Neurospora crassa OR74A: one gene and its partners. The protein of the gene in region 4 interacts with the protein of the main gene of each other region in a pairwise test. Links are inferred from orthologs where the notes say so. Each region holds a gene or a part of one and is shown on either strand. Other genes may lie near its edges.

Region 1 (8,143 bases), on a different chromosome or scaffold from region 4:
CGGTAGACGCACCATCAGTATCCCGGGAGAATACAACCCATCCGGCGTATCGCTTTCTCCCTACCCTGTAGAAAGCGACGAGGAGGTGGAACGGAAGAAGAAGATAAGGAAGTGGATGATGAAAGCCAAAGTGGCAGACTATGATGTTGCGGTATTGTATCTGGAGGGAAATGATTGGAATGTGGAAAGCGCAGTAAAGGCGTTGGAGGACGATGAGATGTGGGAGGCCCTAAACCAACCACCGCCTACGAAGGGGAAAGGGAGGGTTATGGGAAGGACGTGGATTAGTGGGGTGAAGAGGTTGGTTCCCACTGCTTCTAGTACTGCGTCGAAGTTTGGCAAATAGGTAGTCAAGCCGGGGATCGGGACTTGAAAGCCAGGAAGACTGGATCGTAAGCAGTTATGATGCCATGCTTTGTGTACCCAAAATTTTGTATATTGCCAAGCAATATGGCTCTTCTTTTCTTTTTGTTTAGCCACGTACCAATCTGTCTCTTCTTTCCATCGTTAAATCTAAGCACAACGGCGTACATACAATTGACGCCTAAACCACTTACCACCACCGGAGCGCCTAGCTGAATCAACAGCAGTAATCCAAGTTAACATTACAACAAGGCTTTGATCCATCCCAGATGTCTGTGAAAACGACGCGCTTCTTTGCAAGGAGTTTCATATACATTAAACCATAAGCTCGCAGCCATTACTTCTCACCCAGAAACGATGTACTCAAGTTTAGAAGGCAGACCGGGTGCGGATATCCTAGACAAAGCAAGCAGGTTAGTAAGTGAATTGTTTCTCGAAATTCAAGGGGGTTTGAGGGAACACATACCGAAATCTTGCGCTCGATTTCCCTCACCGAGCGATCAAGTTCTCCCGCAATCATCTGCTTCTTATCATTCGGCAGCAAGCTAAACCTCTCGCACAAGTCACCATCGATCACACCCTTGACGGGGGTATAGTAACCCCGGTAGATCAAATGATCACGGCCGGCAAGCGGCGGGTCTTCAGCGCGCATATGATTCTCCAGATTCTGGAAGAAGTCGACATCCTCACGGCTGACAAAGGGAATGAAAACACCGACAGTGCCCTGCAAGCCGCTCCAGAGCAGCACGTCCTGACCACCGACAACTAGGCTGGTCTTGCATATGCTGGTCGGCAAGTCCTGAGTGTAGAAGTGGACCTGGAGGCTCAAGCGGTTGGGTGTGCCATGAAGGTAGTTGCGGGCGTGCATCAGGTGGATCTCTGATCCAGGCTCGTCAGTTTCCTGGCTGACGCGCTCTGGGCAACGGACGATGTATATGTTGCCGAACTTGTCGCCGCCGGCAACGGATTCGTAGTCGACCATGGTGGTGCAGGTTGTCCAGCGGTTCAAGGTGTCGTCAGCAAAGGGAATGAGTCTATTGCCCTCGGCCTTGTAGACAACGTACGTGATGCCTTGCTGGAGATCGCCGACAATGATGCGGTTACCCTGGCTTTGTAGGGAGACGATGAGAGTGGGCGTCACATCTGCTTGAGCTTTTCGGAGCAGTTGCTTCAAACCGAGGTCGTAGATACGGAGTGTCTTGCCGACGCCAGCAAGCAGACGTCCTTGGAACGGAATGAGTGCCAAAGGCGGCTCTTCTACTCGGGTCTTATGAATGAACTCCAGGTCCCGGCCGTCTTCATGGAATCTGTAAACATGGATGTAGCCCTCGGTAAATTGACGTGGGTCGAGGACCATATCTTTGCCCGTGCCGACAACCAGGAAACTTTCGCCCTCTTGACTGGCAAAAGGTACAATGGCCGCGCTGACTGCCGCCTCATTGTTGTCAAGATCAATCCTTTGGAGGACTCTCGGTTCCTCACTGATAGGGTCGATAATGCTGATGCACGATGCCCATCTACCTTTGGCTCTGGGATATCCAAAGTCCTCTGGCGGCAGTACCGTTGCGTCGCCATTGCTTTGTTGCTCCAGAAGCTTTGCCCGCAGCTCCGGGGGGAGGGTGTTATTGTCGGATTCGATAGTGTAAAAGTATGGCTGTTCGGGATGCTTGACCAAGTGCTTAGGTGTGTAAGTCAAAGGAATGGATTTCTGAATCATGTTGTCGCCCAGTTTTTCGATTGAAAAGATTCTGCACTCAATGTCAGTGTCTGTGAAGATAAGGACGTGCAAAATGGATGGGTGTATCGGGTTGTATTTGTAAGGAACAATTGGTACAATCACATATGATTGCTCCAATCGCCTCATTACCCAAGGGCATAGAGTTCACTTTCCTCATCACATAACTGGACGCCAAACAATTTGGAATAAACTGACCTTAGGTAGTTGGCATGAATACCAACCATGCCTTCCAAGCACTGTTCGCTACTGAAGTTCCAACCATACTCAAGCTCGGTGTAACTTAGGGGCGTCATCATGAAGCCCTTAGTAAGTGGGTCGGTGTAGCCTAACCATGGCCTCGAGCTCAGCGCAAGAACACATGGCTGATCCTGAACTGATACTTGGAAAAGTCTGGTAGGCTTGGGACCCAAGAATTTTTGACGAGTGTCTGTCAGTTCGCCCGTCACTTCATCCAGCACAGTCCGGAGGTAAACGCCCGAATGCAATCCGATGTGGAGATAGAGCGTGGATCCACCAAACGAGTCCTCCATCGACATGATTGATAAAGCCGAGGGCGCGGCTGTTAAAGCTTGGATGGACTTCATCTCGAGTGTTGAATCAGGGTCCAAGCTAAGAATGCGAACTGTGCAATCATCGCATCCTACAGCTAGGAAAGAGCTTCGCTTCAGGCCCTCCGGTACTTGACCGACGCTCAGCGATGTGACGGTACCCGACATCTCCTTCTTTTCGTCATACTCGGCGAGCGAACCATCCGAGTCCATTTCGAAGTAGACGATTTCGCCAGAGCTCAAGGCGATGACAACCTGATTCTCATTTGCCGTGGCAGCAACAATCGAGCGATGCTGAGGTGCAGGCCATTCATTGACACGACCTTGGACGATGTGGCGAATGCCCTTGGGGTGAACTTGTATCAAGCCATCCTCACCCATTTGCTGCACAGCTAGGGTGGGCGCCGTAGTCAAGAAACCACTATCGCTGACCTCTTCTACCGTCTCACCAATGCTGAGAACCAATGTTCCATTTGTGAATGACAGCACAATATAAGCATCGTACTGATCGTACTTGGTCAACTTAGTCGTCCATACAGCAGAAGGTGTACCCGGAAGCTCCGAAGCGACAATTTCAGACACTTCGAGTCCGTGCTTCAACATGCGGAAAGTACTCCGCGCCCCATTTCCACAGACAGAGTAGATCTGGGGCGCGTCCTCTCCCGTCAGATTCGCAACCTTGCAGTCGACCTGAGGGTTCATCGAATCAATGCTCTCAACCAGGACCAGATTTTCAAGTGGCCTGGGGTGGAAGTACACCGGGTTATATGAGGCGGTAGGGTCTGTCGGGAAGTCGTCGCTGCTGAACTCGAGCTCCTCGTCATCGTCTCCGAGCTTTTCAAATTGGTAAAAGTGATGGTTTCCAAACTCGCTAGCGGCGAACAGGAAGCCGCTCTTCAGGATGCAAAGACTAGTGGCTACTGGTATCGTGTCGAAGTACTTGATCTTGAGGCGCTTGACCTCTCCGGTGGGGTTGCCGTCACTATCTTCGATCATGTCAATGGTGACTTTGAAGAGATCTCCATCGTCCGTCTGAAGAAGGAAGAAAAAGGCGCCCGCGCTTCCCTTGAGCTTGTGCATAACGCCAGAGACGATAACCCGCTTCCTCTGAGGATCTTCGGTGGCACCGCTGCGTCTAGGGATGGGGACGCGGAAAGCCTCTTGATTCGAGTGCCGATAGGTGACATTTTCCTCGCCGCACACCAAGACACCGCTGGGACCGTCATTGCCGCCGGGTACTTGGAAGAGAAGTGAAGAAGTGCGATCGACAGTATCTGACCACTTGCGTACAACGTGGTTCAGGCCCAGATCAAGCTCGTAATATACCAGCTGTGTCTCGACTTCTTCTCGTGCTTGGCCCGTAGGATCTTGGTCCGCGTCCGTGTAGTCCAGTTCCAACGCAGCGAAAACGGGGTTTGCGTAACCAACGTCAAGGGCAACAAGAGACAGCACCAACACGCCTGGCTTGTGGGCTTCCAGTGGTGACGAGATGGTAAGCTCGGCCTGTGAGTTTCGGTTGAGAACATAGACCAGCTTGTTCTTTTCGAGTGCCGAAATGAGGCATGCTCTTCCCTTTGGATCTGCGGCTAAGTACTGGCCGGGGATGACTCGGCGGACGCCCGATTTGCCGAAAGTCTCGAGGTGGATGCGCTGAAACTTGTTCGTCTTGGGGAGATACTCGATAATCGTAATGCGGCCCGAATCAGTGGCGAGGATAATGTAGTCTGGGTGGCACAGGGTTTTAGCACAATCCCGCTACCGATTTGAATGAGTCTCTCAAGTCCCCAGAAGACTCGTAGGCCTGGGTGCATGGTGCGTGACCATACGTGTGGCCCCTCTACCCAGAAGCACCTGGGGAACGGATCCAGAATCACTATATTGCCCAACACAGGAGGTGGCGGGGAGGTTACTCACCCTTGTGGCTGCCGGCCAGACGGAACGACGCGATGGCGCGTACGATGCCGAAGATGTCATGAGACAACAGGGTGTTGACCTTGCCCTGACGGGGATCAGGCTGAAGGAGGGTTAGACGCGATCCAGACGCCGTAAGAATCTGCTGTTCCTTGGTTCCCGAGAACTGACCAAGCAGAGCCTGCGTGACAGCGGTGGGTGGCTGGATGGTCAAGGAATACAGGAACATGTTCGACGTAGTCGCCATGGCTGCAACTGGGCGCAGACAGCCGGCGCGGCTCTGCTTTCTCGAGGTTGTTTTTGCAAGTGGGTAGGACTCGGTTGTGCTCTGTCAATGCTGCCGTCGTTATGTTGAGAAGACCAATGCGCGAAAGTCAGCCAGATTGTCGAAAATCTAGAGTTGAATATCGAGTAGATGATTGTAACACGGCAAAAAAAAATGAAACACGGTCCAGTGTTCTGGCACTCTGGCGAGGTAGATGGAGTCGGTTGCCGTCGATGGTATTTCTGGCCAATTGGTGCAGTCCAGTCACTCAGGTTGCAGCGGTACGTCGGACTCGGTCCACGGTAGGTCGTAGACGCCGCCCACTCATCTTCCCGCCTCGCGACTGTGGCTTGCTCGTAGCTCTCTGACCCGCATACGTAACGTCAGACGGAGCTTACCTAGGCACAATTGTGGCTGGTGAAGCAAGAACAAAGTGGGTCATTCGATGGACGGGACCCGCCTAGGCACTTAGGCACAGTAGAGGTAGGTAGCGAGTCGGGTCGGTGGGAGAGGACCCCGGATTGCTGGGAGCTGCTGCCAAAAAGTCAATTGGAAAGTCGCATCGAGTCCCGGCGATCCAGATTCCCGATCGAACATCATCCGACCTCTTGAACTCCCAATGGCCCTCCCAGCAGACCGCGCCGTGCGTCCGGCCTTGTCCAAGCTTTGCTCGCAATGCTCGACTTTCACAGCTAGACAGAGCAGGCAAAGTGCTGCGTTTTTGCAGTCAGCCCAGCAACGCTCCGTCAGCTCCATCCGAGGGGCACAGAGCTCTTCCTCGTCTTCGACGCAAGTCGGCGGCATCACCAGAACCATTTCGCGTCCGATCCAGGCTTCGATCACAAGCAAGCTTCCTTCCGTTGCTGCCCAGTCCAGAACCAAGGCCAGCAGCTCGACATCGTTTGCCACCAACGAGGATCTGGCCGGTAGTGGTATCCCCTCGAAGCCGATTCTCGAGCAGGACAACCTCTTCCACTCCTTCACCAACTCGCCCATCCCCAAGATCCGCCAGCGCGCGGCCTTCATAAGACAGCACGCCAGCTGCCCCCACCATAGCCACCGCCCAGGGCAGTTCTCCGAGACCAACCGCCAAGTCGATACCGAGTCTGGCTCCCAGCCGCCGAAGCACGTCGATTTCGAGTGCCCTGACTGTGGCATCCCGGTATATTGCAGCGAGCAGCATTGGATGGACGACTATGAGAAACATCTCGAGATATGCGACACTCTGCGGCAGATCAATGAAGATGACCATGACCTCCATTCAGGCCGCCACTTCTACGAGTTCAACTACGCCGGTCCGCAAATGGATGATGCCATGGTCAACATGACCAACTGGGACACGTTCATGTATACCCGTCAGTTCGAAGCTGTCAACGATGACCGGTGCATGAGACAGGCGACTAGGTTGTTGACCTATCCTCTCACGATCGGCAGCGTTCTTCACGAGTTGAGCCCGTACCACATCCGGAATCGCCTCACGGTCGAGGGCTTAAAGAGTTTGACGGCACTTCGCTATACCCTGCATCCTCCCAAAACTGGAGGCAACGAGTCTATCAAGGGTCTTCGGCCTGAGGCGCCCCCCGTGCGTGTCTTTATTCTCGGTGCTCGCGCTGAGTCGTCGCTGCCTAGAGATGCTTGGGTGCAGTTGGCCCATCTCTTCCCCCTGTCGAGACTCCATCTGATTTTCATCGGACCCGAGAGCATGATGAACCGCGATGACGAATTTCCCCTCCCGCCTCGTACTCCCGAGAATCCTTACGGTGCGGTTGTGGAGGATCGCGTATGGCCTACCATGAAGATCAGCACCATTGTGGATTATTACCATACTATCCACAAGACGGGTTATTTCGCTCCTCACGATCCTTACTTCGACTGCTTCGTCCTCTTCCACCCTGGTTTGGGCCACCCGGCAAGCTCCCACGAATGGGAGGAAACGCTGCCTATGCTTCTCGAGACCAAAGCTCCTATCATTGCTACGGGCTACACGCAGGCTGACATGGAGCGTGATGTCGAGTGGGTCAACAAGAAGGCCAAGGGTGAATTCGACATTCTCATGGAGCCTGGCGAGAACATCTTCCGCAGTCTCCGGTGGGATCTGAATGATCTTGACCCTCAGGACGTCAGTGCCGGTAACTGGGGTGTGTGGGCCTTCCGCGGAAAGAGGTTGGTGCTCTCTTGATTTTTTTCCCCCGCACAACTAGATACGGTTCGAGAGCTAACAGAGTTTGTTTTAGGTACGAGGCTACCGTCAAAGACAACGTCATTGCTGTATAGATGAGCCATGCGTATGCTGGTCGTTGCATCCTGTAAGATGTAGTAGGTGTTGGCAACCGGGCTGTTAGGAGCCCAGACTGTATAATAGGAATATCGAACAAACGCATTGTCACGACCATATCGGCTTTTTACACTTCAAGACTTTGTGGTATCTTTTCCGTTTCTAACGGTACGGGCTGGATGTTACGGATGTCGGATCCAAGGTGTGTGTTCAAAATCTTTTGGACTGCACAGTCTGATAATCTCGTAGTTGTGGGCCTAGGGAGGCACTGATCTGCAACGGTCAGGCTCGGGCCGCATGCAGCAAGTGCCTTGTGTCACGGCAGTCTGCTGTGGCAAGGGTGATGACAGCTTGAGCCTCATCGACGACAGACGGTTTTTTTTTTTCAAGCACTTTTTGTCCGTCTCACGCAACACCTTGCACCGCGCAGTAAATTTCGGTCAACGTTTGTCAAGCGAAGTGCAACGATAACAAACTTCAGGCGTGGAGATTCCTAACCTGCCAGCAGCAGTGTGTATCCTTGGTAAGAAACGAAAACTACCCACATGCTGGAAGATGACTCGCACCGACTTGACTAGAGTTAAAGGAATTTAAAAGCGGTCGAGGATGCGGTGCCGCCTTAGCTGCGTAAGTCAAAGGTGTGTGCTTTGTTGACATTCATTCAGGGGAAGCTCGACGACTTCAAGGGGTGATCGGTTCCATGCTACGGGCAACGACCATGCTTGGTCTTGGCTAACCTCACCGCCTACCCGTTTCGGACAGGTATTGGCTGATAAGCGGCAGGGTGCTTCCTTATCACCTGGGCTACTGCCGCTGTTGGCTGGGGTCGCCGGCCATCCACCACAGGTGCGGGACAGGCGTGGACGGAACACAAGACCGGACCACTCGCTACCTATCAACATGCACCCAGCACCACCTGTTCACCAACCACTGCACCGCGCAACACGCACAATCACACCTCGACGATTTTCTCTTGTCTTCCGCCTCTCGCGCTTCAAAGAGCTGCCAGGCTCTGAATTGTCATAAAGAGTGGACGGCGCTAT
Region 2 (7,987 bases), about 5.0 Mb from region 4:
CGGGCCAGACGACTATGAGCGCGACCGCCACGACCGCAGACATTACGATGACTATGCCGACTCTTCTCGAAGCGGGCGTCGACACCGAGACTACTCAGACGATGAGCGCTCCAGAAGCGGCCGCAGCCGTAGTCGCTCAAGGGGAGGAGGAACTGTGGCAAGGAGACGCGATGCTTCGCGTGGATCAGTCTCCTCATCCGACCTGGGAGATTCGGACGATGACAGGAAGAGAACCAAGAAAATGAGAGGTAAGCAAATGATTACTACAGGATTGGCAGCTGTGGCGACCATCCACGCTGCCCACAACATCTACCAAAGCGTGGAGAAGCACAGCGTACGTAAGAAGGCAGTGAGGGAAGGGGAATTGAGTCCGGAAGAAGCCAAGAAGCTCAAGCAGAGAGCCATGCTGCAAGATGCCGCATCGGTCGGCATCGCGGCCCTGGGCATCAAGGGCGCCATCTCGGAGATGAAGGAGGCTCGTGAGGTGACGCACGAGACGCATGAGTGGAAGAAGAAGAAAGAGGAAAGGCATCAGAGACGGCTCGAAAGACTGCGGGCAACGGCAAACCAGGCAAATGACTTTGACGGGGACGGCCGTGGCGACATTGTCGACTTCGGCAGACGCAGGGCTGACAACTGGTCTTCTTCAGCGCCGCCCAAGGCGACCCGCCTGGAGGATGGTCCCTATTATACTGATGGGAATCCATACGGTGCCATGCCTCGCAATCCATCTCCTCCATCGGGCAGCAGTCCTGGCAGGAGATGAGTTATGGGCAGGTTTGCCATTGCCCGCTTTATCGTCGTCTGTCACCCGTGCTCTCTAATTTGACCCGACATTCAATCTGCATTCTTGCATCCCCAATCCTACGCGGTGCCTCAAGAAACAACAAGAGAGCTGGTCACTACTGGGCGTTTGCTCAACTTGAGCTGAGCGAGGGAGCGTGTGCCTTGCTTGAGCTCATGCTGGTCTGACGAACACCTTGACCGTTAGAGCCCAGCCCCTCCTTCTGCTTGGTTGGACACATGCGCAAGGGGAAATCTTCCAAACTGCGATGCCTCATCGCTTATTACAGTTGCTGTTGCGCCTCCTGATATGCTTTGGTTACGATGAACATGACCTTTTTCTTCCTTTTTCATCACATACACGAAAAGTTATCAAATGCAGTTGTTTAACCAGTTGACTAATTGTTCTCCCGCTTTCTGCGCAAACAGATCACCGTCGCTAAACATAGTCTCCACTATCTGAACCGATTGAACCGAAAAAGACAGGAGGACCCCGAAATCCAGGGAAATGTGGCGATCCTTGGCAGGGGTTGCAAGCAGGTTTTTTTGCGTTGTACGACTGAACGGGCACGCATGTTGAACCTCGACAAACAGGAACTGTGAGGAATGACGCGCACTCAAACCACTGCAAGTCTGCAACAGCGAAATGATTGATGGGAAAACGGTTGTTGGTCGGTGCCGAAACGGCCGGTACCGGAACGGAAACGCGCCGCACGCTGGCTGTCTGAGCTGTTCTGGTTGGCTCGCAAGTCACACACATGGATGTTTGGATCTCACGAGACTTGGCGTGTGGTTGGTTGGCCTGGCTGCCAAAGGATACAACATGCGGTTATGTCGGCCCCTACATCCTTACACTTCCTATCTTTCGGCATCTATGCATAGCTTGTTCCTCCCTTGCCCACTCTCTGTACTCCTTACTCCAACTTTCTTACACCTTCTGCTGGGCGGCAGCTACAACGACATGTTTTCGCTCTCTTTCTACTTTTTTCTACCTATTCTTTCCTTTTCATGATGATGATGATAATGATGGTCAACAGGTTGGGTTTTATGAGGATGATGAAGAAACAGATCAATTCCGAGAGGTTGAGAGAATGACAATGATAAACAATGTATGCCTCTTTGCGAATTCTCACGATATATGTATAAAGAGAAGGCCGGTAGTCAGTTTCTTTCATGGAGATAAACGATACTTTTTGGACCCACGAATACAATGTGCTGGAAATCGACGTCAAGACCACCATGAGATTCGACGGCCGAGGAAGACCTGATATCCTCAGAGTATCCCAACATGTACAAAGCCGTATTTAATCGTACGGGATATGGAACAACCTACCAAGCAGTTGGTTAAAATATAATTCACACCTTTCATCAAAGTATGGGGTTTCTATCGTGGTTTGGGCTTTTTATGTGATCTTTAATACCGAGAACAACTCAAGAGGTATATATGTGTGGGAGTAAAGATCCGCACCATATCGGTTACTGTATTCGGGGGGAAAAGTTTATGGGCTTCTTGGTCTGCGGCCTAATATAACATTGCATCTCCTACACTAGCTGCTCCCTCCCTGAGCCGCTTCATCGACAGCAGCGCCACCAGCACCCCCCGCGGCCTGCTGTTTCCAAGCATTCGCCATGGCCAACAGACTCGACAAGTTCTTGGTCTGCTGATCATCAGCCGGGAAGATATAATCGACATATTCCTCCCAAGTATCATCCTCCAGCTTACGCTTCTTCTTGGTCTTCCTAGGCATTTGTTTCTGAATCTTTTCGATATCCTCCGCCGACCCATGCGTCTTCTCAAACGCCAACCACGCGTTGAGCAGCGACACACGCTCGGCCTTGAGCTCGCGCTCCTTCATGCTCTTGTGCGCCCTCTCAAAGATCTTGCGAGCACGTGCCTTGGCCTCTTCGCTAACAGGCTTCTCTTCCACCTCCTCCTCCGTTTCTTCCTCCTCCTCGGCCTCGTCGGGTATGTTGATCTCGAACTGGGCGTAACTGATCCAGACCTTGGGGTGATCGGCCTTCTCGAGCAGGCGCTCGTACAGGGCACGCGTCCGCTCGTACTCGCCCTCTTCTTCCTCGAAATCGATGTACGCCTTCCATACCACCTCGGGCATGTCCAGGATCGGCTGCGAGACAGCGAGCTCGAAGATGGCGCGGGTGCGCTCGAGATCGTCGAGACCACGTTCCAGCTCGGCCCACTTGATCCATGTTTGGCAGTTGGCCGGGTTGTACATGACATGCTTTTCGTAGAGGGTGCGGCAGCGCTCGAACTCGTAGAGCTTCTGCTCGAGGAGGATGTACTCCTTGAAGATCTTGTCTTTGGGGCACATGCCGATGGCGCGGCCGAGGGTTTTGCGGGCCGTCGTTAGTTGGCCCTGTCGGATCTCGAAGTGCGCCTTGGCAACCCACACTTTGGCAAAAGTGAACTTCTTGTGGGGGATCAGGTTCAGACAGGTGTCGTAGATCTGACGGGCTCGCCCGATATCCTTTGTTTCCCTCTCCTCCCATATCGCGTAAAAGAGGAAGAGGAAAATGTACCGCCTCCAGTGTCGCTTCTCTTGGGTTGGCGGTACTTGAGCAATGGCTCGCTCGTAGACTTCTCTGGTCCGATCGACATCTCCTCCGCTCTCCTCGAGTCGCGCAAAGTCAAACCAGACGTCGTAGTTCTTTGCGTTCTCCTTGACTTGCTCCTCGTACAATCTCCTCCTCTTTGTAAGAATGACGTCCTCCACACCCTCCTTGTCGCCAAACTGCTTTTCAAATGTGGTGTAGTGGGCATGTAGCGTCATCGACTTGGACCGAGGCAAGTTGTCGAGGCCAAACTTGTAGATGGCACGGGCCCGCTCATACTCACGCAGACGGGCCTCGTACCGGGCGAAGGCGATGAATATCCTCTCGTCAACGGCATCGTCGCCTAGCGTTTCGGCAATTGTCTGGATAGCTGTCTGGAAGACCTCGCGGACCGTGTCGCTGGTCCCGTATTCCTCTTCAAACTTGGCCCACTTGAGCCACGTCCTCGGTTCCGGATGGACGGCGGTAAAGGCCCTGAAGATCTCCCTTGCCCTGTCGAACTCGCCGTAACGTTTCTCTAGACGGATATAAGCACTCCACGCCTGCTCATCTGGCTGCCACTTCATCCACCGGTCGAAGACTTGTCTGGTACCCGGAATGTCGCCGAGCATCTCCATAACGTAGAGATACTGGTACCAGAGAGATGTGACTCTGGGCAGCCGCGTGACAGCGCGGTCCAACAGATTGCGTGCATGGTTGATGTTACGGTTCTTGATCTCTGCTTGAACGTATCGGATCCAGAGTTCTGTTGGACATATCGTTAGCGACTGATGTGCGCCACATTTAACAGCACATGGACACTTTGAGTTTAGACAAACATACGAGTATTGTTGGGATGTACATCCAGAGCGCGCTCGAACACAGAGCGAGCCCGCGCAAACTCCTTCTGTTCTAGCTCCCATTGAGCATACTGGAGCCAGTTCGATAGACGAACTCGGTTACGCCGCACGTAGTCCTCAAACTCCTTGCGCTTACGACCTTGGTATTCCTTGAGCTCCTCGAGGTCGGCAAAGCGCTGTGTCGGGGTCTGGAGGTTGACTTCCTGGCGGTCGACGGCCTCGCGCAGCAGCTGCTCGGCCGAGATCTGTACAGGCGCAGGGGCTTTATTCTTCACCCGTGGCGGGCCGCGCGATGACTCCATTGTGAAGATGGGCGTAAAAAGTGGCGATCTGCAGATGTTGGCGTGGTGTTGTAAGTTCGGTTTCTCAATGAGATTTTGGGGTCTGGACGCAACAGCAGCCAGCCACTGAACTCAGTTGAGGACGCGCTGCGATTGATGGACCGTGGCTCGATGCCCCTGCCTACTTACTGAACCTTGCTGCACAGTGGGTATGGACACTTTTCGCTCATCATGTCATTGTACATCTGATAGGTAGTACATGTCCGACCTCAGCGAGCAGGTTCGCCCATAAGACGACGCTGAGCCGCTGGAAGGCCGCTGTATTGGGTGTGGCTGCGAACTACGCCTACTTGACACTATCTACTCACTGCACTGGCAGCTATCGGCGACATACCAAGCCGCACTGTGTACGACCGGCAGGCAAAGCACTGGCGCAACGAGGTCAGTACAGTACGCTAGGCCGTGATGCAACGCCGCGGTCTCTTGCCTCCATTCTTCCCAAAACCAAAACAAGTCGACAACACATCGAACTCTTTTCCATTCTTTCTTCGGCACACGGCAGCTGTTGTACCTGTATCAGCGACTGTCCCGTTTACTCCTGAATCTAACCACCTTGAGACCCGAACAGTCGCCGAATATTCTGCCCAGGAAACAGGGTTTTGCCAACATGTCGTCTACTCTCGACGAGCTCCTCCAGGACTTTGAGGACTCTGGCTCCGAGGCCGGTGGCGAGGAGTATGGCGATGGTCTTCTAGGCGATGGCGTTGACACGACTGGAGGCTCCGGCGTGGACGACGCACATGTACCGATCAATGATGAGGATCAAGATGAAGGCATGGGCGACGAGGAGGGCGAGGACGAAGACGAAGCTATGGGTGGCGTCGGCGCCGACGACTCGAATGCTGTAGAAGATCCCGAGGAAGCAAAAGCCAAGGTTGAGAAGATGCATCTGGGAGGAGTGCGAGATGTTCGAACTGTTGCGACTCTTATGAAGTCATTGAAGCCAGTACTCGAGGTTAGTTCCCTTATACCCGTTTGCGGTGCTCCCTTTGAACATGGAAAAGCGTTTACATCTTATTTGAGCAATAGCCCTGACAGTCTGGATCGAACGTTGCAGAAAATCGCACACTATCAAGCACAACCCGCTCAGGCCAACGACGTCGGCCATGTCGAAGATCACCCGGAATACAACCTCTTGACCAACGCCAACAGACTGTCTACTCTGATAGACAGTGAGGTGGCCCTTGTCCACAAGTTTGTGAGGGATCACTTCTCCGCCAGATTTGCTGCACTCGAGTCGCTATTACCGAACCCAATCGAATACTGCAAGGTTGTTGCCATCTTGGGCAACTCCCCAATGGACTCGGAGAGCATGAAAGCGTTGCAGCTTTCCACCGATAACCCTCTGGGGTTAACCCTCAAGTCAGTTCTTGACGGACCAACCTTGATGATTGTCACGGTGGAAGCCACGGTTTCCAAGGGTCAATTTCTGGGCGAGAATGAGATCCAGCGCGTCACAGAAGCGTGCTTGATGGTGGTCGATCTTGATAAGGCTAAGAAGACCCTCACTGAGTACGTACAGTCTCGCATGAACATCTTTGCGCCAAACTTGACGGCTCTCATCGGTTCCCTCACAGCAGCACAGCTTCTTAACCAAGCCGGCGGCCTGACTGGCCTTTCCAAAACCCCGGCTTGCAACCTCCCGGCTTGGGGCTCTAAGAAACAGACAAGTTCTGCTCTTGCCACCAATGTCGGCATCAGACAGCAGGGCTTCATCTATCAGTCAGACATCATTCGTGGGATTCCAACCGACCTCAAGAAACAGGCTATGAAAATGTTTGCAAACAAGATTGTCATGTGCGCGCGCACCGACTGCTTTCACCAGTTCAGGGATGGGTCAGAAGGCGAACGACTGAAGGACGAATGTCTAGACCGCCTAGATAAGTTGCAGCAAAAGCCAAACAGCAAGGGCGCACGCGCTCTCCCGGCACCCGACGACAAGCCGAGTAGAAAGCGTGGTGGCCGACGCGCTCGTAAAGCCAAGGAGGCCACGGCCATGACGGAATTGCGCAAGGCTCAGAACCGTATGGCCTTTGGCAAAGAGGAGAAGGAAGTCGGTTATGGCACGGGCGACGCTACCGCTGGCATGGGCATGATCGGCCAGCGTGACGATGGACGTCTACGGGTCACGCAAATCGACCAGCGCACGCGTGCCAAGTTGAGTGCAAAGAGCAAGGGCTGGGGTGGCGCCAGCTCGCTCAATGGCGGCGCCGCATCATCTCTCAGAGGGCTTGCTGGCGGTGGCAGCGGCATTGGCAACATCAATCTGGCTGCCAGCAAGGGCTTGCGGACGTCAGGCGTTGGTACCACGGTGGGCAGCGCCACCGCCGGAACGGTATCGTCGTTGGCGTTTACGCCTATGCAAGGCTTAGAGCTCGTTGATCCAAAGGTGCAATACGAGCTTAGCAGGAAGCGCAAAGCAGACGAGGACCGCTGGTTTAAGGGCGGCACATTCACCCAAGTTGGCAACTCGGGTGGCGCCGGTGAATTCAAGAAGCCTGCATTGCCCCCCAGCAAGAGACAAGATACGGGAGCGACGAAGTGACACCTGTACATGGAGACGGTGGACGAGCCGGTCGATGAAAGCGTACGCCGGTGACCAAGCGTGGTCCCCTAACCTCAATCCCGTTGGGATGGCTCGGTGTGTCCCTGGTCAGTTGGATACTCTGAAGGGAGAAGTATCCGAGCTAATACCGGCTAAGCTAAAGTTTGCACAACTCATGTCATTCTAGATCATAATCATATCATGGACTCGGCAATTTTTTGAGGGTCATGCTGCTAGGGGGAAAAAACTCAGGGAAGTGATCACATTCCATTTGCGACAAAGGCTTTTCTCCTGTACTTTGGTTGATGTTATGTTGCTGTACATGCATCCTCTTATCGTGTTGATGTTCCACTGTTAACCTAAACCAATTCATAGGAGAGGGAATGAGTTTACCAGTCCCATGCACTACGACTGTTAGTGAACCTATAACGTAGGAATCCGTAGATCTTACGAAATCTCATGTGTGTTTCTAATCAGAACATCGATGATATCCTTCTGCTTCAGTTCGGCATACCGAGATCCTGAAGACAGACGGCTCGAATAATTTAGGTATACGGTTTGGTTTCCTTCGGCATGGCCATGTTTAAAGGGTGTGCGTACGTCTGACACTCACCGGGCATGCCTTTTGAAGACAAACAACATAGAAGACACGCAGAAGTACCGGCCCTTACACAAAGAACAGTTGGGCCGCTGCTTGTCCGTTCGTCTGTTGTCTTTAGCTGCAGGCCAAGTCCAGACCGGTTGTGTCACGACATACCTGTCTGCCAGTATGACCGTCAACAAGTAGAATGGCATCCTATCGTGTCATGTTGGTTTAGGACATCTTCTGAAGTAGTCAAGGTAGTCAAGGGTATCGTTGGCTTGTAATACATACCTGATCCCAACTTGGGGGTGGAGCTCCATCTAAT
Region 3 (7,965 bases), about 5.1 Mb from region 4:
ACCGCTAGCAGGAGCACGGCTCTCAGCATCCGCCGCCGCCATCGTGCCCTCTCTAAGCAGACGAGTAAGCTCCGACAGCGCGTTGCCAACGACAACTTCGGTATCACCCTCAATGAGAATGTACAGCTTTGGTTCTTGACCCGGACCTGGCTCCTTTCCAGGAGCATAGTAGTTGCCCTTTGTGGTGATCGACGTTCCCGTGGCTTCGAGGATCTTGGCAACGTTGGTGCGGTTGGTGACAGCCCAACGAGCCTTCTGGGGGAAGTCGTTGATCTCGAGAGTTGCGTGGAACGCGCCCGCGTCGGGACCCTTGTTGTCAATGGGCTGGCCAGGCCGGAGCTGACCGGCCCGGGCGAGACGTGCGTTGATCTCGCTGATGGCGGACGCCGCCTTGTCGAGAGCCCCTCCGCTCTTGCCGCTGCTTGCGTGATGCCCGGCCTTGACGGCACCCGCAGGGATGGCGTGCTTGTCCTCGGTCTCCGCCTTGGAGGCATCGCGTGACACAATGGCAGATACAGCGGACTGGATGGCAACCTTGGTCTTGTCCTTCTTCTCGCCATCTTCTGCAGGAGCGTCTTCTTTGACATCGTCCTCTTCGCCTTCCGCCTTGTGGGTCTTGCGTTCACGCATGCGAGCGGCCTCACGGTCTTTATCGAGCTTCTCAAGGCCTTTGCCGCCAAACCCACTGGCATCCTTGGCTTTACCAGCCTTAACCTTCTCCTTCCATGCTTTGCGCATTTCATTCAGCCGGTCTGGAACGGGCTGGCCACTCTGCTCCAACGCTTTGGCAATGCCAGATGCGCAATTCTCCTGCTCTTCGGTTATAAAGGTGACTGCCGTACCCGTGTTACCAGCGCGTCCAGTACGCCCAGCGCGGTGGACGTAGTCTTCCAAGTGATTAGGGGCATCGTAGTTGATGACGAGCTTTAACTGCTTGACATCCAGGCCACGGGCCGCAATCGAGGTTGCAATGAGGATGGGGCACACACCCTTCTTGAAATCAGATATGGTCGAGTTTCGGTCCTCTTGGTCTTTACCTCCATGGATAGACATGCAACCGTAGCCGCGCCGTAAGAGTTCGCGTAATAGATCGTCAGCCTTTTCTTGCCTCTCCACAAAGATCAAGGAACGGACATCGTCGTCGTCCGCATAAAGCTCTCCAAGGAGTTCTAGCAGACGGTTGAACTTCTTACCCTCGTCCATGACCTCAACGATCTGTGTGATCTCGGGTGCTACGACACTGCGCCCACCCACAGTAATCTCGACAGGGTCGCGCAGGACCTTCTTGGTTAACGCGTCGATAATCCTGGGCATGGTTGCAGAAAAGAGGATGGTCTGGCGATCTGGGCGGACGTTGTTGAAGATTTTCATGACCTGGGGTTCAAAGCCCATGTCGAACATTCGATCAGCCTCGTCAAGGACTAGATAAGTAGCACGCTTGAGGTTTGTTACACGTCCTCCATTGGCCGCAAGAAGATCGATTAGACGACCTGGTGTGGCTACAATGATCTCAGCACCGCGCTTCAACTCGGCGATCTGGTCCTTGATGGCGTTTCCACCATAAGCAGCGACAACGCGAAGCTTCAGAGCCTTTGCAAACGGTTGCAAGTCCGAGTAAATTTGCGTACAGAGTTCTCTGGTCGGGGTCATGATAAGCGCAATGGCACCATCGTCGCCGGTAACGGGGTCTTGATCTTTGACATGGCGGAGCATCGGCAGGGCAAAAGCCATTGTCTTACCAGATCCCGTCTTTGCAACGCCAATCACGTCACGCCCTGACATGATGACAGGCAGAGCTTGCATCTGAATCGGCGTAGGCTTTTCAAACCCAAGGCTCTCAATGGTATCGAGAATAGGACGGGTGAGGCCGCACTGAGACCACTTCTGAACGGGCTTGGGGATGTTCTTCCCGGACACTTTGATGCCATCAAGCTCCAATCGCAACTCAGCCAGTTCTTCTTCGCTCATGTGACTTAACTCATACGGCTCAACCCAGAAGTTCTTCCGAATAGGATTCAGGTCGAGCTTGCTGTAGTCGATCGTGGGGATATCCTTCTTCTTCTTTTTGGAAGCCATGGCGAGAATGGAAGTGGGGTCGGTCCCATCTGCCTCATAGCCGTAGTCATCATCACTGAAGTAGGCCTCAGGCGGAATATTGCCGTTCTTCTTTTCGGTCAGCGTATCGGCTTTAGAGTGCGACTCCTCGCCAGAGGCTGTCTGCTCAAGTCCAGCCATGAAGGCATCGAGTGGGTCGACTTCGTCGTCTACATCCATCGCTGTCGGATTTTGCGCCACAGGCTCGGTTGCAACCTCGATATTAGAAGGGGCACTGTCGATTTCCATAGCCATGCTCTCTTTCTGAATTTGCTCCTCACGCCGCTCGCGCAGCAACCGTTGGGCTTCAGCGCGGTCCTCCTCGGTGCCGGCAAGGAGTACGTCGAAATCTTTCTCCGCGTCTTCCGCCACGTCGTCGTCCGCGTATGGGGTATCGTCAGCATTCTCGAGGGCCAGGTCAGGGAGTTTGACAAGCTTGCGCTTGATGATTTCTTCATCTCCCATGTCAATCTTCCGTTTAGCTGTCGTTTTAAGGGCATCGGCGGATTTGTTGAACCCGAAAGTACTGATAGGCCTCCCAGTTTGCAGTAAGCCTGCTTTGCCCGATGCGGCACCCTTCCCCTGGCCAGCTATACTCGCCGCCGCCGCCACCGGGGCACCTACTTTCACATCACCTAGCTTCACGTCGCCTAACCTTACCGGGGAACTGGCACGTGCTGGTTTAGCATTCCGCGCAATGGCTTTGGGATCAAACTTGCCGACATAGGGGGCAGGGCTTGCTGGGGACTCGGCGGCTGCCGGGCTCGCAGGCGCAGGACTGTTGGTACCACTGCCGACTACGGCGCCGCTGGCTCTCTGATCCATCTCCATGAAGAGTTTCCTAGTGAGCCCAGCGGTAACGTCTGCTTCCTTTGCCTCCTTGAGAGCGTGCTTTTGCTTCATCGCTTGCAGCTTTCGTAGTCGTTCAGCCTTTTTCTCCGCCTCTGTTTGCGGTTGGGTTGGTGTAGACTTAGCTGGCTACAGAATGCAGTTGCGTCAGTGAACGGTCCGGAAAAGGGGATACTTGTATGTAGGGTCCTCCAAAACGTACCTCGTTTTCTTTGGCTGTTGTGTTGCCTGGCTTCGGCTGGTCGCGTGCTCGAACGTCATCACGACGATGTGAGGATGATTCAGCAGTGCCTTCACGACGCACTCGGGCCCGATCACGCGAATCGTCTCGCCGAGGGCGGTACTCTCGGTCCGGATCCCGACTTCGGTCCCTACGCCGGTCTGGGGAACGAAGCCTGTCTAGGCCTCTATCGCGTGACCGACGGCGGTCACCATCACGACGTGAGCCGCGATAGTAGTCGTCATCTCGGCGGTCTATAGATCGATCCCTACGGCGATAAGAGTCGCGGTCCCTTCCATCTCGTCCGCGGTCGCGATCCCGGTCGCGATATCGGCGCTGCATGAATATCACACGTGTCAGCCATTGGGGTTCTCGGGAGCAGCACGACACCGGGAGTCGGGGAGACGGTCGACTTACGTCTATGGGGCTGCGAGAACGGCGGCGGTGGTCGACAGGGCCATCGCGACGGTCGCGGTCACGGCGGTCGTCGTCTTTTCGTTTTCTCGCAGAGAGACTTCCTGCAGGAGATGGTGAGCGCGAGTCCCTGAGCCGAGCCATACTGCTGGAAGTAACGTTGGCTCAGCAATGTCACTGATGGTGAGAGGTACTTCGAGTCGCGTGGTATGCACAGTTAGCGAGTCAGAGGGTCTTTGCGCACTCGGCTGCCCTCCGTCGTGTTCGATCCGGCCGATGGTATGAGCGTCAGTTCCAAGGTCGGAAAGGCGTTGTGCGGCGGTGCGGCCAGAAACTGTAAAGATGCGAGACGGGCTGTGGAGAAGGAAGCGAAGAGGCAACTAAGCGTTGGGTTCCGTCAAGGCGGAAGTTGAAAGTTTGTAGTTTGCAAGCCCAAGCCGGGAATGGGCTGCTGAGTGCAGTGGCCACCCCGGGGAAGGCCTTCTGCGGCTGCCTGGGCTTCGCTTGTGGTTCCACCTGCCAATGGAAGCGCCAAGCCCAGCGGGTGCTGCAACTCCCAAACTCCCAAGGGACCGTGCGCTTGCCCGCCTGTGTGGTATAAGAAATACATATACGCAACTGTAAATCACACGGGTATCTCTTCCAAGTAAAGGTACCTTGTCAGCATGTAAAGTTTCGCGCAGATACGAAGCCTACTTGCTGCCGAGTACATCTCATTTACTCTTCGACCTCCGTCTGTGTGTATCGTATAACTTATTAGTAGACTGAGCTTAAGCGGAGGTGTCTCTTCTTAAGGATGAAGCTCGCGCTGAGGTAGGGGTCTCCACTGGTGCCATGGAGGTCAAACCTGTGGAGCTTGATCTGGGTATTGGATGTGACGTATATTACCTGTAACTTTACTGTCTTGTCGTAGTATGTCTACGTTGACGAGGGCACGACCTTCAAGTACCTCAAGCCAGAGAAATACATATTTTGCGTGAACGAAGGTCAAAATACAGCTCCTGTCGAACAAAAACGGTCCGTACCTTATGACTAGTACCATTCCTCTTGAGACGGGGTTTTCCATTTCTGGAAGCCCACGAGATCGGACCACGCTTAGGGTAAGTAACTGAAGCAGCATCCGGTACCTGTCCCCTTGCGTACCGCTACACCTAGTACCCACTTAGGTAGTGTACACTACGCATACACTACGCATACACTACGCCTGCAAGTCTCGACATCCACAAGTGCCTGGGCACGAGCCCTCCCCTCCGCAGGTCTGCCGTGCGGGCTCCATCCTGCGTAAAACTGATCTTCCCCGACCCACTCCAGCTTCCCGCTTGGACAGGGCTCTCGGCTGTCACTATTGCTTCACTCTTCCCTTCCACTTCCAACTTGTGCAATTGGCCCCGCATCAAGACACGTTCCTGCTTGACCTGCGCCGCGACAGCTTCTCCCCTCTTCCCTCCCACCATTTCCCACCCCGACCTCACTGTCGCCGCCACAGTCCAAGATGTTCTCGCAGATTGCGCTCGCGACGGCTCGTCAGCTGCGCGCTGGCACCACGCTGGTCGTTCGTACTGCCGTGGCTGCGTCCACCAGCTCGACCACCCGCTCCGCTGCTCCCAGCTTCCTTCGCCGCAGCGGCGTCGTCTTTCAGCAGCGCGGTTATGCCCTAACTCGCGCCAAGAAAACCGCCGCCGAATCGGACGATACTGCTGCTACGGCCACCAAGACCAACAAGACTCGTCCCGCCGCCGCAAAGTCCAAGAAGTCGGCCGCTGAGGGCGCTACAGGAGCCGGCGCAAGGGCAAAGACGCCCAGAGCCAAGAAGGAGGCTGCGCCCAAGAAGCCCAAGGCGCCCAAGAAGAAGGCACCGCTGACGGACGAGCAGAAGAAGAAGCTCAGGATCAGACTGTTGAAGCAGCGGGCGCTGTTCAAAGAAGATCCCAAAACCCACCGAGTTCCTGCTTGGTCCGCGTACATCAGTGAGCACATGAAGGACGTCTTGAAAGAAGGCGATGATATCGCGACGCGGAGAGGGTACTTTAAAACGTTGGCTGCACAGTGGAAGGAGCTGTCGGACGCTGAAAAAGCCGTAAGTTTGCCCCATGGAGCTCCATCCCGTGATGTTCCTCTGCCGCCCTTCAGCTACTTCTCAAGTTTGTACCATACTTCGTCCTGTTCCTTTGCTGACTGCGATCTTTCTGTACACAGCGCTACCAAGCCAAGGCCGACAAGGCTCACCAGGATGGCGTGGCTACGCGGGCAGCGTGGGTACTCACCAAGACACCCATGGAGATCGAGGACGCCAATTATGCCCGTCATGCGCTGAAGCGCCTCGGTGTCACTTCGGTCGTCCATCCTATCCCCGATGACCGGCGCCCAAAGCGCCTAAGGAGTGCCTTTTTGTTCTTTTGCATGTCGCGCCAAAAGGACGCCCTCTATGCTGGCAAGCCCCTACCGGAAATAGCGAAGGCTTTGTCCGAGGAGTGGAAGTCCATGGACGATGCGGCAAAACAGGTAGGTCTTTTCAATCCTTCCTCGTCATCCATTTCCCTCTTGTCCATCGTAGTGCGACAGGTTCTTGCCCCGTTCGCAACGACGTTCTTGCCTGACTTGATCACCGTGTTAACAACCGTATGCTTCACCCAGCCTTACGTCGACAACGCTGCAGTCGATAAGGAGAGATACCTCAGTGAGAGAGCTGCTGCCGCCGCCGCTCATGCTGCCGCTTGAGTGTGGTTATCACGCCCCTCGACGCCCCTTTTCCGGTTCGGTTCATGTGAATTTATATGGGCTCCGAGCGACCTCCATGAGCTTCGTTCGTCACACAATTAGCCGGCTCGTTGCCGATGCTCCGTCGCACTCTGTTGTTCGAGTGGCACCGAAATGTATTTGTAAGGTTGTTGGGGAAGCGAGGCGAATCATCGGATAATCTTTATGGATCAATAAAGGAACGAATGTGGGTGTCCAACTAGGAACCCAAATAAAGAAGGGACCAGAAGTACACTGCATCGCAAAGCCTCAAGTTCATGTACACGAAGAGTAGTCATGGGCCAAATTCAAGTTTGGTTACCCCCCAATATCACTGATACCAGGGGCTGTAGGTTGTTAAACGCCCGCAACTCATCAGCTGAGCCCGCAACTCCCAGCTTCGGTCCACTTTGAACCAGGACCAGTTTCCCACGCCCATTCAAATCTGCCACAACAACCTAGAGCCCTACCTCGCACTCAACGTGCCCACCCCCGTGGCCATTACAGACCGCGACCTAGCTTCCATCCTAATGACCACCTCCCCGTCCCCATCCACCCATTCCGTCCCTGTATACAGCACCTCCCGCTTGCTAATTATGTACAAGACAAGGTATAGGTGACCAACCACCGCGCCCCAGCAATACAATCTCAAACGAGTGAACGCTTCATCCCGCGTGCACCAGACCCCCCAGCCCGCCGCCCCGCTACCCAGGTAGTCCGCTAGAAAAAGCCAGCACGACTCCTTGAGCTCGCGGCCCCATGACGTGCAGTCCACCAGCCAGTAGCCCCGCTCGTAAGGGCGCGTGGCGCGTGTCCGGAGTGAGGGCTGGAATCGTTTGGGGAGTTTCAGGTCGATGGCGAGCTTGGCGAGGACGGGGGTCATCAATGAGAGATCGTTTTCTGCTTCTCCTTCTCCTTTCTCCTTTGAAAAAGAAGATGAGAGATCGAATACGTGATCGGACGTTGGAGGGCAGGGCGAATGGAGCTCGAGGACCGACGAGAGGCGGGCGCTTCGTGAGGCGATCTGGTTGGATTTGATAGCGTCTTGTCGGGGGCCGATATCACTGGAAGAGCGGACGAGGGGCTTTCCGGAGCTTGAGATTGGGTTTGCGGAAGATGAGGGGACGGACAAAAACGTCAATGAAGCGGGCGTAGCTGATCGTGATGATGGTGCTGGTGCTGGCGCTGGCTCGGGACATGTGCGGCGACACTTGATTGGTGGCGGTTCGGATTCGGTACGGGATGACGATAGGCATTGCTTGGATAAGTCTTGTTTGCAAAGGATGGTGTCGGTGGCTGGAACTTGCTCTTGGACCGCAGGCTGTGATGATGCTATCGTGAAGTCGCTGTCTCGGGAGGAGGGAGACGGCCCATGCTGGACGGGTCGGCGGCGCTTGTTGTTGGCGTTTATCACTGGCGAGAGAGGTATAAACTTTCCTCGGGGATCTGCTGGTGTTTGGCGTCTGGGAGAATATTCTGTGATTGACATGCGCCTAGCGAGTTGACGACATGATAAATCCCTTTCTGATGGCGCAGCAACATGAGGTTTCTTGGCCCTATTGATCAGTGAACTGAGGGTCCTTTGAGTACCGCCTTCCGCCGCATGTTCCTGGCTATTCCCTTGTAAAGAAGAATCCGGTGGTAAGAGCGCT
Region 4 (7,860 bases):
CATCACTTGATCCTTCTTTTGTTGTGCGCGTGTGTTTATGTGTGTAAAGCCTTCAATGGCGCATAGCGCGCCCAAACCCCAAGACGCTTCGATAAAAAGTCGCGTTGTTCACCCTCGTCGTCATAACGAAGCTGAACCATAGAAACAAGAAACCTGTTTGCTCCTGCTAGACTAACCTGATTCCCATCGCCTAAAGCACAATCGCCAACTCCGTCCTGTCGATGCCCTCCTCGATGAGGTTGGGATAATACGGCACCATAGCGTCCGCGCACTGGACGTATGCATCGTTGTACAGACGCCAATATGGTGTCCGTACCTTTCTTGCCGGGTGGAAAAGACCGGCCCAGACGTAGTTGAGGACCAGTCCCGGACCAACGGCCATCCTGATGGCCTCGATAGCCTCGACGATGCGGTCGATAACGTGGGGGCTGGTCTCGAAAAGGTTGGGATACAGCAAGTTGAGCAAGTGAACCATGGCATCCTCGCAACCGAGACCAACAACGCCAAGGGCAATGTGCTTGACAACACTAGCGGCTGTTTGTCTGTGCACCTGGTCACGGTCAATGAGGGCGTCCTCCAGGAGTGGCGTGACGGCGTAAACATAGTCCTTGGCCATCTCGCCGATGTACTCGAAGAGGAAGGAGAGCGACTTGAGCACGCCGTTCTGAACGTTGAGCTCGGGGACGCGGTACTCGTTCATGAGCGCAGGCAACACAGTGAAGGGCGCGCATGTCTCGGCAACGATACCGATGGCGACGGCCGTGTTGACACGGGACTGACGCTCCTGAACGCGGAGGTTGTTCAGAAGGGTTGCAAGGACATCCTGAGGACCAATGGCCTTGGCAATGAAACCGAAAGTGTTGTTGGCAGCACGTCTGATGCCCTTCTTGTGAGCCTTGAGCATGTCGAGAAGCTCGAAGCAGATTCGCATCCATTCGCGGGCGTTGACACTCTCTGGACCGCGATCGGCAATACGACCTACGAGATCAATCGTGTTCTCTTGTACCTTCTCGTGTCGGTTACGAAGAATAGGGGTCAGGCGAGGCAGAAGATCCTTGATAGGGGGCTGCATCTGGCTGATACCCACGACAGTAACAATGGAGCGGAGAGCACCAAGAATAGAGCCAAGGACCTCGGGATACTCCTCGCCAAGATACTCGTAAAGAACAATACCAAGCTTACCCATGAGGGCATCTTCACCGCATTGCTTCATGACCATGGCGATGCGGGAGATCAAATCGGCTGCTTGCTGTCGTACAGTAGCTGACTTGTTGTTCAGACGCCAAAGAATGGTGCTGACAATCTGAGGAAGGTAAGGCTTGCATCGGGTGCCTAATGCGTTAACCACCGAACCGAAGCCGTTAAGCATAACGATGTCCTCCACGCTCTGTTCCTGGAACGCATGAAGAATGCCATCGATAAGGCGTTCTTCCAGACGCTCGCCAATATCGGCAGCACCGAGAGAGGCCACAATCTTTTCAACCGTCTCCACCGTCATCTTGCGGTAGGCTTCGCTCTCGTCCTTTAGGTTGGCTACGATCCTTTCCAGAATCTCGCTGACACCAACCTTTTGGCCAATGTCGACAGTGGTCTCAACGACCTGTCGGTAGTTGCGCTTATCCAGAGCCATACGCCGTACCCAAAAGCTCTTGAAGAACTCGTCCAGCACATGCTCCTTTAGGTACCCAGCCGTTACTCCATCGGTGGCGGCGCACTGTGAAATCACCTTTAGCACAACCTTCTTCATCTCTTCATCAGGAGAGGCAAATTCTCGTAGCAGAATCTCCATAATCTGACTGGTGTAATAGTTGGCATAGTCTTCATCCATAAGCGGGATAATATAACCGACAGCCTTGAGGAAACCCGCCAGACCCTTGCCTCGCTGCTTTCGGGCACCGGTCCAAAGGGGGTTGAGAATATCATCAAAGCTCTCGATACCGTAGGGGTTAGATGCCTCGGCGAGAGCTGCGATGGCCAAACTGGTCACTGTGCGGACCTTGGTCTGTTCATCGTTCAGGTTGGGTCCGATACAGTCAACCAGCTGCTTGAGATGGGGCAAGACTGCGCAGCCCATCAAGATGGGAATCTGCTGGACGATCTTGACACCCGTGTGACGAGCCTGCCACGACTTTTTGCTTCGGCACACAGCTCGCAAGAAGGGGAGCAGAGCTGGGATACCCAGAGCCGAGGCAACGACGGCAAAGGCTCTGGCAGTAGTGTTTCTGACATATTCATCGACGTGATCAATATCTGGACGCATGACACTGATCATTGTGGCAAGACCAGCAGCCTTGCTGAGGTTCGAAATGATTTCCCGACCCTCAACACGGGCATAGTAGTCCTGATCGATAAGAAGGGGTTCGATAACGACGAGAATCTTGTGAACGTATGGTCGAACCATGTCATCGAGCTTGTACAAAATACGATCAATAACCTTGACGAGAAGATGGCGTTCCTGGTCCTCCAATGTTTTCTCCATGAGCAGAGGAAGAATTTGGTTGAAGAGGGGGCCGGCACCAAAGTTGCGAGCATTATCTGTCAATTGTCTGAGCGCAGTCTTTCTCATAGGAGGAGTACCGTTCTTGACCTTCAGCAAGAGCCTCATAATCTTTCTCTCCTTGAGCTCTTCGACACTCAAACTTTCCTCATCTGCTCCGTCGGTGAGCTTGCCGAAGTATGCCATATCTTCGGGCTTGAAGAATTGCAGGTCTCCCACACCGGGAATCTCCTTTGGCACCTGCTGGCCTGTCATCCGTCCGCTGTCGGGGTCCTGCATCATGAAGCCCGTTGTTGGGGCCGGAGCCTGCATCAGCTTGTGTGCCGGTGCTCGCACGGGGGCATACCCTGGTGGCGGCTCAAGAATCTTGTAACCTTGTTCGGGGCCTGGAAGCATCGCGTCCAGCTCTTCGTCGCTGAGTGGTGCGTAGCGACCGGCCGCATCAGCCCCGAAAGCTGGGGGCACGACAGCGGTCTGGGTAGGGTGCATCGGGGTAGCTAGGCCGACATTACCAACAGGAGTGGCAGAAGGCGCCTGGTCCCAGCGGGATCGCTTCTTGGGTTCCGCCCCTGGCGCCCCTGGAGCGGGAACAGATGGTGCTTGATCCCACCTAGACCTCTTCTTGGGCTCTGGTGCCGGGGTAGCATCATCTGTAGAGGCGACATCCCATCTCTTCTTGCGCTTCCGACCAGCCGCAGCTTCAGTAGAGCCAGCCTCCTCGTTCTCCTTGTTACCGGAATCCTGAAGGGTAGGCTGGTGCTCCTCGACCGGACCGCCCTCCTTCATCTTCTGTTCAATGGCGCGCCGTACGCGCTCTTCCTCTCGCTCAAGCTCGCGGCGTTCCATGATTTCCCGGTAACTCTCGCCTTCATCAGTGGCACCTGCTTGGCGGTTGGCAGCAAATGGGTCGGCTCGTGTAGGGGTCAGAACGCGGTCAAATCGGCGCTTCTGGTAGTCGGTCTCCCTGTCGGTGATGCGGTTGCTCTTTTCGCCCCGGCCAGCCAGGGGATCATCCTCCTCGACGCCATCGCCGCGTGCAAACTCATCGATCTGAGCTCGGGTGGCGGTGTACTGTCCTACTAGGCGGCGGCCGGAGTCGGCATCTTCCATCTCTTCGTCGTCGCCATCGGCAGCAGGCAGGGTGGTGTGGTAGCCCGCAAACTTGTCGCCGGTGTTGCGCTCATACAGATCGGTGTCCCATATTTCTCCCAGCTTGGCTTTGGTGCTGTTGTCGGATCGTTGGTTGGCAGGATCAAAGCTGCGCGAACCGCTCTTGGCGGCAGCAGCAGCATTGCGCTCCTGCTGGAGCTTCTTGATCTGCTCAAAATCCGAGTCCGACATGGTGCTGGCCGTATCCTCCTCGTGTCATGTCAGGTCGGGGTCGTCGCAAGAATGTCCAGCGCGCCGCGAGGGTGAATGATGGTATGTGGTCGGGAGGAAACGGGACGTGATGATGTGGCGCTGCCCGTGGGTGGTTGGGTGGGATCGGGTATGGTAACTGACGGGGCAGCTAAATTGACGGTGACAGTTTTGACACTTTGTCGTGTATAACTGAGGCTATCAGCAAGGGAATAGACGGTGGAGGCAGAGGGATGCAGGTCACGGCTGAAGACGGGCGCAGTGGATGCGGTACGGTGCACACGCCTTCCCTGAAATTTTGGCCAGCGACTGGTGACGGGACGTGACCGTGAGAGAGCTGACACGGGCTTGGCAAGGCTGCACCTGAAGTTTCCACTCCAAGTGGCGCTCCAGGTGCATTAGGTAAGCAGTCCAGACCTCGACGCTTTCGATCGCGGTGGGGAGCAGGGGAGCTTCCATCCATTTCCACTTAGCTCATGTGGGGAGGCAGCACTTTCACTTTCCACACCCTCAACTTCCATCCATTTCACCTCTCTCAACCTCGCTTCATCTTCGCTTCGACCAGCATGACATCCCAACCTGCAACGCCGCTACTGTATGTAGAGTTGCTTTCAAATATCCGCCAGATATCGCTGGCCATCTCACTGGGCTCTGCAAGCGATGCGTCAACACGAGTAGTGGTGGCAGCGGATGGAGAGAATGTCGAGCTCACACACCATGGACAGTCACATACACTACATCTACCCGCAAAGGTAGCCCTTGGCGGCGCCATTCTGCCAATACAAAGACCTGGAGCCTCTGCGCTCTCCTGGAGGTTACCGTTGGGTCAAGGAACATACACGGATGCATCATCAGCCGAGTCGTCCACTTGGACAGCCACCGATTTGAAGGCCGGGTCCGAAGTTGTTTGTAGACAATGCCAGGCCGTTGTTGTCAAGCGAGATGTTGTCAAGGTGTGGAAAGACCTCCCGAGTGAGAACTGGGCTGAGATGATGGAGTTTTGGCACTGTCACAAACCTGGTGACCACGATCATGACCATCACCACCACGACAAGTCAAACGGCGTTGATGCCAACGGGCAAAGCGATAGGGCAGATGACATGAGTCTTGCAGCTCGAGGATATGGCGCGAGCTCGGCCATTTCGGCGCAACAAGGTGTTGGGTTTGTTGATCTGACAACGCTGTTATTCGTCGAGCAGGACTGTTCCAACATCACGGTAAGTCCATATGTAGCATGCTCATGACTTGGTCTATTCACCGTCTCGAATGCGTCCATTTGAATCTTAGCAGTCGGGGCATCAAGAAGGTAGCCAAGTCGGCCTCGGCCCCTCAATGGCATGGATACCGATACAAATGCCCAAAATCAAGCAGACTCTGTCCCCTGCTTATGCGGGGCATTGAGTGGTCGACGAACCTGACTTCTGTGATGGGGCGCTTCCAGTCGGTGGATGACAGGCTGAACCCTCCGCATTTCGCCAGATCATTGCCAAGTCCTAAATGCTCTGGGATTAACTGGAGGAACATCCTTTCTCAACTCTTCACACCAGTAAACCTCTCCCCTCGTCAGTTAGTGCTGACCATGTTTCCGCTCTTTAGTATTCACTCTCTACCCCTGAGCATGGATCACCAGATAGGCAAGTTGTTGCTTCAGACGAAAGCAGCAACCAGGTTCGGAGCCTCAACGTGTTTTGCTCTTCCTGTCAATCCCAGCTCGGTTTTTACAATTTCCGGACAGCCGCAGTCACACTCCTAAAGTGGCAGATTTCGTGCGATTCTGTGTCCAACCTCAGCCCAGGACTTGAAGAGTGTCTTGCCGCGACCCTGATTTCCACCATAGCACGATCAGGATCCTCCAAGTCGCTGTTGCTTCCCATCACAGAGACCATAGCAACCACAGAGGAAGAAGGGGTAGGGAAGGACCAAGTTGTCCATATATGGGTGCTTAACAGTGGTATCGTGTTTACATCATCTGCCATGGAGGCCACGGTTACGAGGCCAGGAGCTGAAAGTGGTATTCCGGCTATGAAACTGCTTTATCGGTTGGTTCCCCGAGAGGAGGCTGACCGCATGCTGGATTCACTTACTGGCGATGCCCAGGAGGTGAACCTTCCGACAGAGGCCATCAAGGAGGTTGTGGAACGTCTAGACAGGAGTAACTGTCTGCTGCCTACCACTGAACGGGTATTCAAGGAGTGGAAAGTGGGTTTACTGAGGCGATGAATCCGGAGATGGGAATATGTGCTCAAGTTGGTATGTATTGGTAACAAAGCAGCCCCATCGGCGTTATTCTCGACCTCAAACTTGACTCTTTATCCTTTTACTGGATCGTAATGTCCGGGTTGTTGTCGTCTGGACGGTGGCGTCCGGTTCAGCTTTTGGTATCACTTCCGCAGCAACCGTTTTCCGTTTCCTGGACATGGCCACTGACGTTGTGGCGGCCATCTCTTCGCTTTCTTCGATTTTGACCACCACTCCTTTATTTTTTCCGGGCTTGGGCACAACCTCAGCAGTCGTAACCATCTCTTCCTGGCTTTCCTCTTCGACTTTCACCACCCTCTTCTTCTCTACCCCAGCTGCTTGTTCGGAAAACGACTTGAGATTCGCAGTAAAGAGGACACTCTGTGCCCAACCAGCCTGAGGACCCCATATCTTCCTGAAATGGTCGCCTACGGCCACATACATGGCCTTGTTGAGCGTCTTGGTCTTGGCAGACCCTTTCCCACCAAAATTGTAGTCTCTTTGCGCGATCTGCCAAACGTGCGTGTCGATGGGAACAGACTCGCCCCACCCGAGACCCATTAGACACACACAATCCGACACCTTGGGGCCAACACCCGGCAGAGTCAACAGAGCTTCATGAGCCTTCTGGTAGGTCGGTGGGTTGTCCAAGTCAGCCTTGGATTCAACAGACTCCTTCTCTTCTGCCCCTTCTTCCTTCTTCACTAAAATATCCTCCTCAGCCGCTCTCAACGCAGGAACACCCGGATTCCTCAACCTCAGCAACCACCTCTCCCCATAAACCTGCGCCACACACCCCGCCGTCTCAGCAATGTACTTGGCCCTATAACCAAAGCCCAGCTCCCTCAGATGGGCCTCGACCCCTTCCCCCGCCAACGCCTCCGGCCCGGGGAAATCATGAAACGCTTCTCCCTCCACGGTGGCCACATAAGGACCGTAGTGCGTACACAGCTTCAGCACCATCTGGCTGATGCGCGAAATGTTGTTGTTGCTGCTGCAGATGAAGGAGATCAGCGTCTCCCATGCGTCCTGGTTAAGGATGCGGATCCCCGTGAAAGCGGGCGCACGCCGGGCGAAGTTGGCATCTGAAAGAGACCATTGGGCGTAAAGGGTAGTGAGAGAGTGAGAGAGGGCAAAGTAGTTGTGGAGGAGGACGGACGTGTCGTCTTCGAAGTCCTGGGGGTGTTCATTTTTGGGAGTTGCTGTACTGGTAGGCCATGTCACTTTGTAGTGAAGATGGGTGGGATCTTGTTTTAGGGAGATGAGACGGCCTTTGAGGACGCAGTGCCTGGAAAACTGTTAGGACTTGATACTTTGAACAGAGAAGAAATAAAAAGAAAAAAAGTAAGATAGTGGTGTGCATTCGGACCATTGTTCATTTATCTTGCGCCATCTAAAGGACTGGCCGCATCGGAGTGTGGTTTCGATGCAGAGCTCTGTGAGACTGATAGGCAGTTTGCGCCATTCTGTCACTTTCTGGGATGCCATATCGTATTTATTAAAAACTCTTAGACTTTGCAGATAAGACAAAAAGGATATAAGGGTCTTCTATAGAGGCTTGATGTGAAATTCTTTGTCTCCATCCCTTATTATGCAGGTAGATTGATTATCACTTTTGTTTCTCATGGACCCAAAATCCCAACCCGGATTTGATGGGGGGCAATGCACTGGGGCTGCAAATGCCCTGCGGTGGTGGTTACCTATCTGCTGGAACTAAGGTACCTCTACAGGGGCAATTCCTCTTCAGTTGTTGCCACGCCATTGCA

The links.
Region 1: the proteins of NCU03042 (region 4) and NCU00396 interact in binary tests that used the Saccharomyces cerevisiae proteins (3 or more experiments, as listed by UniProt). The link is inferred for Neurospora crassa OR74A from reciprocal best matches to the Saccharomyces cerevisiae genes HSH155 and RSE1.
Region 2: the proteins of NCU03042 (region 4) and NCU02717 interact in a two-hybrid assay, tested with the Saccharomyces cerevisiae proteins (2 studies listed by BioGRID). The link is inferred for Neurospora crassa OR74A from reciprocal best matches to the Saccharomyces cerevisiae genes HSH155 and CLF1.
Region 3: the proteins of NCU03042 (region 4) and NCU02696 interact in a two-hybrid assay, tested with the Saccharomyces cerevisiae proteins (3 studies listed by BioGRID). The link is inferred for Neurospora crassa OR74A from reciprocal best matches to the Saccharomyces cerevisiae genes HSH155 and PRP5.

The regions. Positions count from the first base shown.
Region 1 is NC_026503.1:3,705,444-3,713,586, reverse strand, and holds the start of NCU00396 (pre-mRNA-splicing factor rse-1), read right to left. Parts: upstream 5,090-8,143; 5' UTR 4,808-5,089; coding exon 4,564-4,807; intron 4,501-4,563; exon of another isoform or gene 4,374-4,500; coding exon 2,297-4,373; intron 2,112-2,296; coding exon 830-2,111; intron 760-829; coding exon 733-759; 3' UTR 347-732; coding exon of another isoform or gene 1-346. Other genes in the region: NCU16683 (hypothetical protein), read left to right, coding at 1-346; NCU00395 (mRNA processing protein), read left to right, coding at 5,445-6,988, 7,060-7,099. UniProt on the Saccharomyces cerevisiae protein: Involved in G2/M transition. Required for pre-mRNA splicing and endoplasmic reticulum (ER) to Golgi secretion pathway. U2 snRNPs associated protein required for the pre-spliceosome assembly.
Region 2 is NC_026501.1:3,297,875-3,305,861, reverse strand, and holds NCU02717 (pre-mRNA-splicing factor clf-1), read right to left. Parts: upstream 4,595-7,987; 5' UTR 4,496-4,594; coding exon 4,177-4,495; intron 4,100-4,176; coding exon 2,331-4,099; 3' UTR 2,127-2,330; downstream 1-2,126. Other genes in the region: NCU02718 (hypothetical protein), read left to right, coding at 1-766; NCU02716 (pre-mRNA splicing factor), read left to right, coding at 5,142-5,489, 5,592-7,079. UniProt on the Saccharomyces cerevisiae protein: Involved in pre-mRNA splicing and cell cycle progression. Required for the spliceosome assembly by promoting the functional integration of the U4/U6.U5 tri-snRNP particle into the U1-, U2-dependent pre-spliceosome.
Region 3 is NC_026501.1:3,228,344-3,236,308, reverse strand, and holds the start of NCU02696 (pre-mRNA-processing ATP-dependent RNA helicase prp-5), read right to left. Parts: upstream 4,020-7,965; 5' UTR 3,722-4,019; coding exon 3,581-3,721; intron 3,500-3,580; coding exon 3,146-3,499; intron 3,073-3,145; coding exon 1-3,072. Other genes in the region: NCU02695 (hypothetical protein), read left to right, coding at 5,070-5,654, 5,774-6,079, 6,212-6,295; NCU02694 (hypothetical protein), read right to left, coding at 6,780-7,965.
Region 4 is NC_026501.1:8,342,605-8,350,464, forward strand, and holds the start of NCU03042 (U2 snRNP component prp10), read right to left. Parts: upstream 4,180-7,860; 5' UTR 3,839-4,179; coding exon 191-3,838; 3' UTR 1-190. Other genes in the region: NCU03041 (hypothetical protein), read left to right, coding at 4,423-5,073, 5,453-6,076; NCU03040 (N-glycosylase/DNA lyase), read right to left, coding at 6,152-7,382, 7,464-7,582. UniProt on the Saccharomyces cerevisiae protein: Contacts pre-mRNA on both sides of the branch site early in spliceosome assembly.